Linked DNA regions of Oryctolagus cuniculus. The protein of the gene in region 1 binds, or shares a complex with, the protein of each later gene. Links are inferred from orthologs where the notes say so. Each region holds a gene or a part of one and is shown on either strand. Other genes may lie near its edges.

What was found. The genes of interacting proteins can lie anywhere in the genome.
Region 2: DRC7 (region 1) and DRC12 share a complex: the UniProt entries of both Homo sapiens proteins name them as parts of the nexin-dynein regulatory complex. The link is inferred for Oryctolagus cuniculus from reciprocal best matches to the Homo sapiens genes DRC7 and DRC12.
Region 3: DRC7 (region 1) and EFCAB2 share a complex: the UniProt entries of both Homo sapiens proteins name them as parts of the nexin-dynein regulatory complex. The link is inferred for Oryctolagus cuniculus from reciprocal best matches to the Homo sapiens genes DRC7 and DRC8.

The regions. Positions count from the first base shown.
Region 1 is NC_091449.1:41,191,823-41,195,471, forward strand, and holds part of DRC7 (dynein regulatory complex subunit 7), read left to right. Parts: intron 1-2,648; coding exon 2,649-2,777; intron 2,778-3,649. UniProt on the Homo sapiens protein: Component of the nexin-dynein regulatory complex (N-DRC) a key regulator of ciliary/flagellar motility which maintains the alignment and integrity of the distal axoneme and regulates microtubule sliding in motile axonemes.
Region 2 is NC_091432.1:111,116,915-111,120,663, forward strand, and holds the end of DRC12 (dynein regulatory complex protein 12), read left to right. Parts: intron 1-114; coding exon 115-234; intron 235-709; coding exon 710-802; intron 803-3,123; coding exon 3,124-3,254; intron 3,255-3,471; coding exon 3,472-3,600; 3' UTR 3,601-3,668; downstream 3,669-3,749. UniProt on the Homo sapiens protein: Component of the nexin-dynein regulatory complex (N-DRC), a key regulator of ciliary/flagellar motility which maintains the alignment and integrity of the distal axoneme and regulates microtubule sliding in motile axonemes.
Region 3 is NC_091444.1:65,095,753-65,098,730, forward strand, and holds the end of EFCAB2 (dynein regulatory complex protein 8), read left to right. Parts: intron 1-1,999; coding exon 2,000-2,115; 3' UTR 2,116-2,431; downstream 2,432-2,978. UniProt on the Homo sapiens protein: Component of the nexin-dynein regulatory complex (N-DRC), a key regulator of ciliary/flagellar motility which maintains the alignment and integrity of the distal axoneme and regulates microtubule sliding in motile axonemes.

The sequences.
Region 1 (3,649 bases):
ACAGCCAGGACACACACCTGCGCCCATATGAGATGCCAGTGCCACAGACGGAGGCTTAGCCCACTACGCCACAGCACTGGCCACCGTCATGATCGTTTAATCATTCTGAAATGACCATCTTTAGCTCTAATAATATTTCTGTGCTGATATCTATTTTTTCTGATATTAATATAGCCACCCTAGATTTATTTTTGCATGTGTGTGTTATTGTCCTTTTAATCCACTGCCTCACTTCTGAGCCAACTCCCTGCAATGTGCTTGGGAAGGGAGCAGAGCATGGCCCAAGTGCTTGGGCCCCTGCCACCCATGTGGGAGACCAAGATGGCATTCTAGGTTCTTGGCTTCGGCCTGGCTCAGCCCTGGACATCTGGGAAGTGTGCAATAGAGAGCCAAAAGGCCAGGATCTCTGGGAAACCGGCCTGGCCAGAAACAGAGGACCCGGGAAAATGAGGAGCGTGGGGACATGGCACCTGCCTGTCCAAGTTCAAGTCCAGCTGGCTTGATTTCTCCTCCTCCTCAGATTGGAGGCGCCTTGCCATGGGCAAGACCCCGGGGGTCTGGCTCACCAGGCACCTGGCCCCCATCACAGTGGCTGGGACGCCATGGAGAAGCCCCTTCTGCTCTGGGACTGCATTCCCCTGTGCAAGGGCCTGGGGCGCCCCCTGTGGGAGACGGCGGGAGCAGACACGGGACTGCTCTGGTGCAGTCCGTGTAGAAGTATGAAGTTGGGAGAAAGATGAACTTCTGCCTTCAGCAAAGAAAGGCACCCCCTACGCCCCTGGCCCCTCCTTGTGCCTGGAGCCTAGGTGCTCTCGTCCCTCAGCGACCTCACAGGGTGTGGGAAAGAACACTCAGCAGGGGTGTCGGAGAGTTGCTGGCTCTCCACTGGATGTGAGCCATTTTACAGGTGAGCAAACTGAGGCCTGAGGAAGTGAAATGACTGCTTCCACGCAACAGGGTCAGGGCAGAGCCAAGAGTGCCCTGCCCAGAGCCCAGGCTTGTGACTGCTAGGGTCCCGTGTCCCAGGAGACCGTGGCCTCCTTCCACGCCAGTGCCTGGCAAAGGAGATGAGTGACAGGGGTCCCGGATGCCGGATGCTGCGGGACGAAGGCGGGAGTGAGATCGGAAGGGCAGGACCGCGTCAGCAAGTGAGGGCATGGAGGACGGCATCAGGACGCTGGCTGGCACCCTTCGTGCCACCTGAGCCTCGGAATGGCTCCTTTCTTCCTTCAAAGCCACTGGAAGTAGCTTTAGGGGGAGGGGAGGCTGGTGAGGTATCCATAGAGACTGCCCGGTGTGGACACACCCTGGGCCATAGGCTGCAGCCCGTCCAGTCGGTTCTGCTTTATGTTAAGGACTTTTATTTACTTAAAAGGCAGGGAAACAGGAGACCATGATCTTCCCTCTGCTGGTTCACTCCCCAGATGCCCAGGCGGCGGGGGCTGGGGACTCCATCCAGGTCTCCCGTGTGGGTAGCAGAGACCCTTGTACGTGAGCCATCACCTGCTGCCTCCCAGGGTGCACATTATCAGGACGCTGGCATCTGAAGCAGAGCCAGGTCTCAAGCTCAGTGGCTGTGATAAGATACAAGCATCTGGGGCTGGGACTATGGCATAGTGGGTTAAAGCCGCTGCCTGCAGTGCCAGCATCCCATGTGGGCGCTGGTTCTAGTCCTGGCTGCTCCTCTTTAGATTCAGCTCTCGGCTGTAGCCTGGGAAAGCAGTAGAAGATGGCCCAAGTCCTTGGGCCCCTGCACCCACATGGGAGACCTGGAGGAAGCTCCTGGCTTTGGATTGGCACAGCTCCAGCCATTGCAGCCCTCTGGGGACTGAACCAGCAGATGGAAGACCTCTCTGTCTCTGTCTCTACCTCTCTTTCAAATAAAATAAAAAATGCAAACATCCCAAGCGACATCCTACTCTCTGCACCAGCACCTGCCCCGCTTATGCTTCTGCCACAGAGATAGAGTTTTAAGTGAAAGGAGCAAAGGACAATGTCTCACCACTAGTCGCTACATAAAAGTGACCACTGAAAGCAATGCAGACATCTGAATGACCAGGATCCTCTCCACTAAGCTTCAGCCGCCCCAAGCCCTGTTTCAGCTGTGAGGGGTCTCGCCCCCATCCCCCACCCCTCCCCCTCCGAGAGCAGGATTAGGGTACACCCCGGTGGGCAGTTGTCCTTTACCTTGGATCTCCCTGGCAGCACAATTTGGTGTGGAGGGGGAGGGGCCTGCCCTGGGGGCAGCTGGGAACTGCTGAGGCTCCTGTGGCCCTGGCCTCAGGTGGGCTGGGTGAGGGGAAGGTGGAGGATACCCGAGCCATGCCAGGGAGGAGAGATCCCCACCTGGCCAGCTTCCATATGTGCCCCCTCTGGGGCTCCCTGCTTCCTGCACGAGCTGGGGCTGGGTGAGCGCGTGTGCAGGCCTGGCCCAGCCGGAGAGTTCCCTGGGCTCTCCCAGGGAGCAGTTGGGGTCTTCTTCACCGGGGACTGGTTATGGGAGGGGGTTCCTGCCCCCTCCCCGCTGAGAGGAGGAGGATGCTGACGGTCTGCCTCCCTGAGCCCAGGCCCACGGCCCTGCCTCCCCACGGAGCGAGTGGGGGTGTGAGCGGCTGAGGGGCGCACTCAGAACTCCCCCACCCTTTCAGGACCTGGTCTTTGACCTGGGAGACCCTGTGAGGTGGGAATACATGGTCTTGGGCACCGACAAGCCCCACCTGTCCTTGACCGAGGATGATGACTCCGGAGTGAACGATGATGATGACGTGGAAAACCTGGTAAGTCCCCGTGGCCCACAGGTGGGGAGCGCATGGGAGGCCTTGCCCCTGTCCCACTCCCAGCAGCCTGATGGCCACCTTACTAGCAGGTGCGTCTATGCAGAGGTAGACCAGTAGGCCGGTTATAGGCTCCTCTAAGCAGATAGACAAACTGAGGCCTACACAGGCCCAGTGACCAGCCCGGGACCTCCCACCCATTCAGGGGTGGCCCTGCTCCTTTGGGAATGGAGACATAAAAGCCCTCTGCACAAGCCCCAGGGCCGGCCGTTCCTCGGTGCCCACCCATTGCCACGCCTTTCCTGTCTGTCCTAGGAGGTCTTCCAAAGGTCGTTGACCAGAACCTTCCCCGGGTCAGCAGGGGCCTTCCTGGCAGGTCCGCGTGAGGGCCTGTGGGTGGTGGTCACAGGCCTTAGTTACAGCTCTGAGGTCTTGGGCAGCCTCAGGGTTGTTTCCAGTATGTAAAATGGGGGAGGGGCTCCTGGTCGAGCTCACGGCGGCAATGACAGGTCTAGGCCTGCTCTCAGGACATCCCACCAGTGGAGTGGTTCAACAGCAGACAGTCATGATCTCACCGTTCTGCAAGCCAGAGGTCAAGGTGTTGGTAGGACCAGGGCCCGAGCCCGCCTTCTCCCTGGGCCCTCACCCAGCCTCCCCTCTGAGTCCCCGTCCCAACCCCCGCTGCTTATAAGGACAGCAGTCAAGCTGGGTTAGGGCTGCTCCACAACCACTTTAGCTTCAGTGCCTCTTTAAAGACATCGTTCCCATCCCGAGGTCCCGGACTGAGCCCAGGCCGCGCGCACAGGGCTCTCCCTGAGTACCAGGCTCTGGTGCAGGTGCCCAATCTGAATTAGCCCGTTTAAATCCCCTAGCCA
Region 2 (3,749 bases), on another chromosome or scaffold:
GCACCTGTTCCAGCTACCACCGGATTTCTAGAGACAGGAAAGGCCATCCAGCCCTCTGGGGCTGATTCAGCGGCCCTCAGCAGGCTCTGAGCAGGGCTCCGGGACCGCTCGCAGCTCTACAGGGGGAAGGGGCCCGTCGAGCCAAGGCTTCTGAAGAAAGGCTGAAGCAGAGGTTGCAAGAGTTGGAGGCTGAACTGGAAGAGGCCCGCAGCGAGGGGAAGGCCGTATATGCAGGTGCGTGGTCGGTTCAGCAGCTGGGCAGGACACAAGGGCCTGGGAGAAGATAAGAGGGGCTTCTGACTGCCGGGCCCGGTCTCAGCCTTCCCTGCGTAGCACAAAGCAGGCAACTCCTGGTGGATGCAAGGAGGCCTCTGGGCTCGCAGGCAGGGACCTTCCAGGGTGCCTGGGGCCAGTGTCAGTGCCAGCTGCACTGGGGGACACAGGACGCAGTCCCAGCCACTGTTTCATTCACTCAGCAGCAGTGAGCGGGCAGATGGGCTGGGGCCCTGATCCTAAGCCGGAGTGGGGAGGCGGCCTGGTGTCCTTCCCTTTCCCCAGGTGTCCAGGGTCTCCCAGCATCCCAGGATCACAGGAACTGAGCAGTTCCTTGGGCTCCTGTCTCCTGGACCACACAGTTCCTTCCCGCCCCCAACTCCTTGCCTTTCTCCATCCCTCCTCCATCCCTGGCCGTCCACCGTCCTCCCTCCAGAGATGAGTCGCCGGTGCAGGGCCCTGCAGGAGCAGATGGAGAGACGCAGCAAGCAGCTGGAGGAGGAAGTGAGGGGTCTCCGCAAGCAGCTGGGTAGGTGCCCCGCCCTGCCCTGGGCCTTTCCTCTCCAAGGGAGGCTGACAAGATCCAGGTTCAGTGCGGGGGCAAACTTAGGTCTTCTCCTAGAAGGCTGCCATCGTCTTCCCCTCCCCCAACCTTGGCTCCCGCAGTGAGGATCAGGCAGAGGTGAGGACAGCATGCAGCTCACTAGGCTAATCCTCCGCCTGGGGCGCTGGCACCCCGGGTTCTAGTCCCGGTTGCACCTTTTCCAGTCCAGCTCCCTGCTGCGGCCCAGGAAGGCAGTGGAAGATGGCCCAGGTCCTTGGGCCATGCACCCACATGGGAGACCAGGAGGAAGTACCCTGCTCCTGGCTTCGGATCCGCGCAGCGCACAGGCCGTAGCAGCCTTTTCGGGGGTGAACCAACGGGAGGAAGACCTTTCTCTCTGTCTCTCTCTCTCTGTCACTGTCTAACTCTGCCTGTCAAAAAATAACAATAAAAATAAAAATAAAAATAAAAAAAGACCCTTTAGGGCAAAGTAAGGAAGAGGCACACCTCGCCCTATCCCCCCTTGCCTGGAATCTCCAGACCCAGCTGTCACCTCACTCCCTGCCACTGCCACGTCTCTCCAGGGCATATCAGAGCACATCAAAATACTCATGGAAAAATGGAATTACAGGATAAGCTTAGGTGCAAGAAACATTGAAAATCTATGCATTTTTTAAAAGATTTATTTATTTATTTGAAAGGCAGAGTTACAGAGAGAGAAAGAGAAACAGAGACACAGAGATCTTCCATCTGCTGGTTCACTCCCCAAATGGCTGCAATGGCCTGTGCTGGGCCAGGCCAAAACCAGGAGCCTAGAATTTCATCTGGTCTCCCACATGGGTGGCAGGGGCCCAAGTACACGGGCCATCTTCCAAAACCTTCCCAGACACATTAGCAGGAAGTTGGACCAAAGGTGGAAGAACCAGGACTTGAGCCAATGCTCCCATGTGGGATGTGGGTATTACAAGTGGTGCCTTAATCCACAGCACCATAATGCTGGCCATTATTTCCAGTCATATTTCCTTCTAACTTTCTGAAATATTCTTCATCTCCCTTCTCAGGTTAGCTAATTTTTACAATGAAACTAAGGGAAAATGTTAGGCTTCTTAACTTCTATATCTCTAAGGCCTACCACCTGGTAGATCCTTTTTCCTAAATAAGTGGATAAACTCTCTATATAAGCAAAAATATAAAAGCCAGGAAGCCTTTGCTTCTCTTCCCTCTTGCTTCTTGGCCCAGTCCTGGCTGTTGCAGCCATTGGGGAAGTGAACCAGAGGATGGAAGACCTCTTTCTCTTTCTCTTTCTCTTTCTCTCTTTCTCTTTCTCTTTCTCTCTTTCTCTTTCTCTCTTCTCTTCTCTTCTCTTCTCTTCTCTTCTCTTCTCTTCTCTTCTCTTCTCTCTCTTCTCTTCCTTCTCTCTCTCTCTCAATATAAAAAATTATTTATTTGAAAGACAGAAAGGAGAGTTCTTCCATCCACTGGTTCACTTCCCAAATGGCTACAACAGCCAGGACTGGGACTGGCTGAAGCCAGGAGCCAGGAACTCCATCCAAGTTTTCCAAGGGCCCAAGCACCTGGGCCATCTTCTTCTGCCTTCCCAGGTGCGTTAGCGGGGAGCTGGATCAGAAGTGGGACAGCTGGGACTCAAACTGGCACCCTGGTGTGGGACGCCAGTGTCACAGTGGTGGCTTAACCCACCACACCACAACTCTGGCCCCTCATTTGCCCTTTAAGATGAAGAAACTGGGGTAGGTGTTTGGTGTAGCAATTAAGATGCTGACTGGGTGGCCCACATGTCATTTTGAAGCTCCAAGGTTTGAGTCACAGCTCCACTCCTGCTACTGTGCACCCCAGGAGGCAGCAGCTGATGGCTCAAGTAGTTGGATTCCTGCCACTCACGTCAGACACATGGATTAAGTTCCTGACTTCAGTTGCAAGCATTTGGGGAGTGAACCAGCAGAGAGGAGCCATGGTGTGTGTGTGTGTGTGTGTGTGTGTGTGTGTGTGTGTGTGTGTGCAAGTGCCCACAGATGCCTCTCAAATAAAGAAGAAACTGGGGTTTAGGGAGACATGCGTGAGCTTACACGAACAGTGACAACCAGACTTAGCCCCCAGCTCCTCTCCAAGCTCACTACTCATAAACCTCAATGGACCTTCAGCTCTTTGCAGGGACTATGAGGAGGTCGCTGACCTGGGCGGAGTCTGAAATGAACACACTCAGAGCCTCCTTTTCAGGTGCCTTTGGAGACTGTGCAAGCACCAAATTCACCGTCCTGTCCTCTCCCATCCTCTGCTCTGCTCCCCAGAGACTTGCCAGAGGGAGGCTGTGGCTGCACAGGGGGAGGCAGCGAGGGCCCTCGGAGAGCGGGACCACACCTTGGCTCAGCTTCGGGCCCACGTGGCCAGCATGGAAGCCAAGTACGAGGACATCTTACACGTGAGCACCCCGCCACCTCCACGAGCCCCACAGGGTGATGACTGACAACCCGGGGGGAAGAGAAGAAAGGGACTCCAAGGGACCCCTGCTCTGTCCCTAGCACAGGCAGAGGGAGTTCCACGGTGCCCACTCCCTTAGACCAGGAAGAATGCTGGCAGGGAGAGCTCACAAGGCAGCCGCCCTCTCTTCCTGGGGACTGGGAGCTTGGTATCCGCAGGGCAGCCTGGACCGGCTCCTGGCCAAGCTGAGGGCCACCCAGCCCCAGTGGGACGAGGCCGCACTGCGACTCCACGCCAGACACAAGGAGCAGCTGCGCCAGCTTGGACTCAACCCCCTGGATCTTTGAAGCTGCCAGCCTCTGGGCTCTGGGACCCTCTGAGACCCCAGAAATAAAATATCCTGAAGGAGAACTCAGCTGAACCGTGGGCTGTGGCCTTTTGTCATAAAGGAGTGGCTTCCGTGGGGACACCTCTGTTCTGAGCATCCCGTCCCTTG
Region 3 (2,978 bases), on another chromosome or scaffold:
GCCCAAGGAAGCAGTTGGCTACCTTCAGTATTTTTACTGTGAGCAAGGCATTGTTCTAAGTGGTAGTGTGTGGTAGTTCATTCGACTTACAGATCATGAACTTGACTGCTGGTGTTTGGCCCCTAGTTCCACTGCTTACTCGCAGGGGCAGTCTGCCTTCTTCCTTTGTATGCTACTGATATCATCACTTGTAAATGGGAATAATAACAGTTCTTACCTCTCATAAGGTAATTGGGAGATTAATTTAGTTAATGTATTTGTGAGCACTTAGATCAGTGCCTGGTGTACAGCAGTATTCAATAAATGTTACTATTATTCTTTTTTTTCTTAAAGATTTATTTATTTATTTGAAAAGCAGTTAGGGAAAGAGAGACAGACAGAGATCTTCCGTCCATTGGTTCATTCCCCCAAATGGCTGCAACAGCCAGCTACAGCTGTGCCAGACGTATGCCAGGAGCCAGGAGCTTCTTCCAGGTCTCCCACGTGGGTGCAGGGGCCCAAGGACTTGGGCCATCTGCTGCTGCTTTCCCAGGTGCATTAGCAGGGGCTGAATCAGAAGTGGAGCAGCCAGGATTCAAACCAGGGCCCATACAGGATGTCAGTGCTGCAGGCCTCTGGTTAACCTGCTGTGTTAAATGCTGGGCCCATTCTTGTTCTTTTTTTTTTTTTTCTTTTTAAGTCTATTTTATTTGAGAAGCAGAGAGAGACAAAAGAGGAGAGCTCCCATCTGCTGCTTCACTCCCCAAATGCTGGCATTGGCCAAAGTCAGAAGCTGGGAACTAAATCCAGGTCTCCCACATAGGTGGTAGGAACTCAGTTACTTTAGCTGTCACCACTGCCTCCCAGGGTCCGCACTAGCAGGAAGCTGGAGTCAGGATCTGGGAATCAAACCTGAGTACTTCCATATGGGAGGCAGGTGTCTGAACTCCTTGGCTGAACACCCACTTCTCTGTTATTTGTGTTCTTGTAAGGAAATACATCAGAGTTCATTTGGCAGTAGATTTAGCATTTAACAATCGAGTATTCAGAATTTGTCACTTTAATATTTTGGACGTAGGCATGGTCTCGTTTGACAATATTATGTTCATCGTCATCAAAATTCCTATTTGAGTAACTTCTCTATTAACTGAACACCAACCTAGAAACCATTGTAATAGTAGGTGATTTAAGTGCATGAAGTAGGGAAGCCTCAGGCTTTGATAACTCACCTGTTTGGATAAGAAACTTTACGGATAAGATGCTTAGGATACCTGTATTTTTGTTTAATGTCAGGACAAAGTGCTGTGTTAAATGGTCTGCAGCCTTTCCAACCTTCCTGAGTTTGCGTCTTTAAGATGGCCCTCATCTGTTATCTGCATCCACCTAACACCTACAGATTTTCTATCCATCTCTTGGGTTTATTTAAAACCAACACTGGAGCAAAGTAGGTTTTTAAATGGTGGATGAAGGGCGTCTCTCACTGGCTTGCCTGGCTCCGCTCAGTTAGCCAGATCTGGCTTAGAGACATTCAGAGATAAAATCATTACAGTTTCTGGTCTCTGTTGTTTCCTCTTCGGCAATTTTGCGCAATAAACATCTAATCATCTCTCCATACTCTTTCTAAATAATGATTGGGTGCCCCATAAGACTCAAACTTTGGCTTAATCCTTTGGCAATTTGAACAGTTTTGAAATTTAAATAAGTAAACAAGCAAACCCGGTTCCTGGTATCTTTCTGTCCTCCTGCTGTCTGGCCCAAGTGCCAGCTTCCTAGGTTGCCTGATCTGTGATATCTGCAGGGTTATCTGTGAAACTGCAGGTCCCAGATCCGCCACAGTGTGCCAGGGCCTGCTTCCGGGACCTCTGGGCTTCATGATGCGCTGGTCCATAGCTTCCAGGAGAGCGCCTAGTGACACACTGGGGCCTTGTGGGGCTGCTAGGCGGTTAAGCTGGCCGGTGGAGAGAAAAGAAAAAAAATCAGGTCGCTGTCAGTGATGGATTCTCCTTCTTGTCCTTCCCAGGTGAACCTTTTTCACAAGAGGAAATGGAAGAAATGTTGGCAGCTACGATTGATCCAGAAACAAATGCAATTCATTACAAGGACTATATAACAACCATGATGATAGATGACAGTTAAATGTTCTGAAGACTTCACTTCTAATTGAAAGGACAATTTAAAAAATTGTTTGTCCTTGTTAATTTCACATTTTAGCCAGTAATTCCTATAGCTGATTAAATATCTTATGATAGAACTATTTCAAGATTTTTAAAAAAGATTGTCATAATAATTTAAAACATCTTTTTGCTGTGCCTTGCCTATGGAATGATCAATTGTGAATTATTTAAAAACTATTCTGAAAACATCAAAATAGATTCTTATTTTTGACAATAAAATCCATGTTATCTTCAAATTAATTAAACTGACAAAATAAAGAATGTCTGTAATGACCTAAGGTTTGGCATATAAAGATCTGGAGAAAGGATGGGTGACCAAAAATTCAAAATGAGTAGCAAATGATGCAGGCTTCCTTTTTAAACAATTAACACTTGAACAATCAATGTGGAAGGAGAATTACTGAAATTATTATTAATTTCTTATGAGTGTCAATTACTCAATCTCATTTGAGATTACAATCCCCTATTTTATAAAATTTAATTTGCGGATTACCATAGTCTGGATCTTAGCTTTAAGGTTGACTATCTCCAAAAGGCCCATATGTAAAAGGTTTGGTCCCCAAAGTCATAAGTTAATGGTATTAGGAGGGTGCAGACTTGTACCAGTTATGGTGTTTAGGAGGTAGGCCTAATGGGAGATCCTTAGATCGCTGGAGGTGTGTCTCACAAGGTAGTTCTTGCTAGTAGGTTGGCCATAAAAGCCTGAGTTGGGCCCAGCCTCTCTCTCTCTCTGCTTGCTGCCTCACCGTGTGATCCTAGCTCTGTCCTTGCCATCCATCACCCTCATCAGAACCAAGCCAATGGAGCTCCCAGAGCTTGGACTGT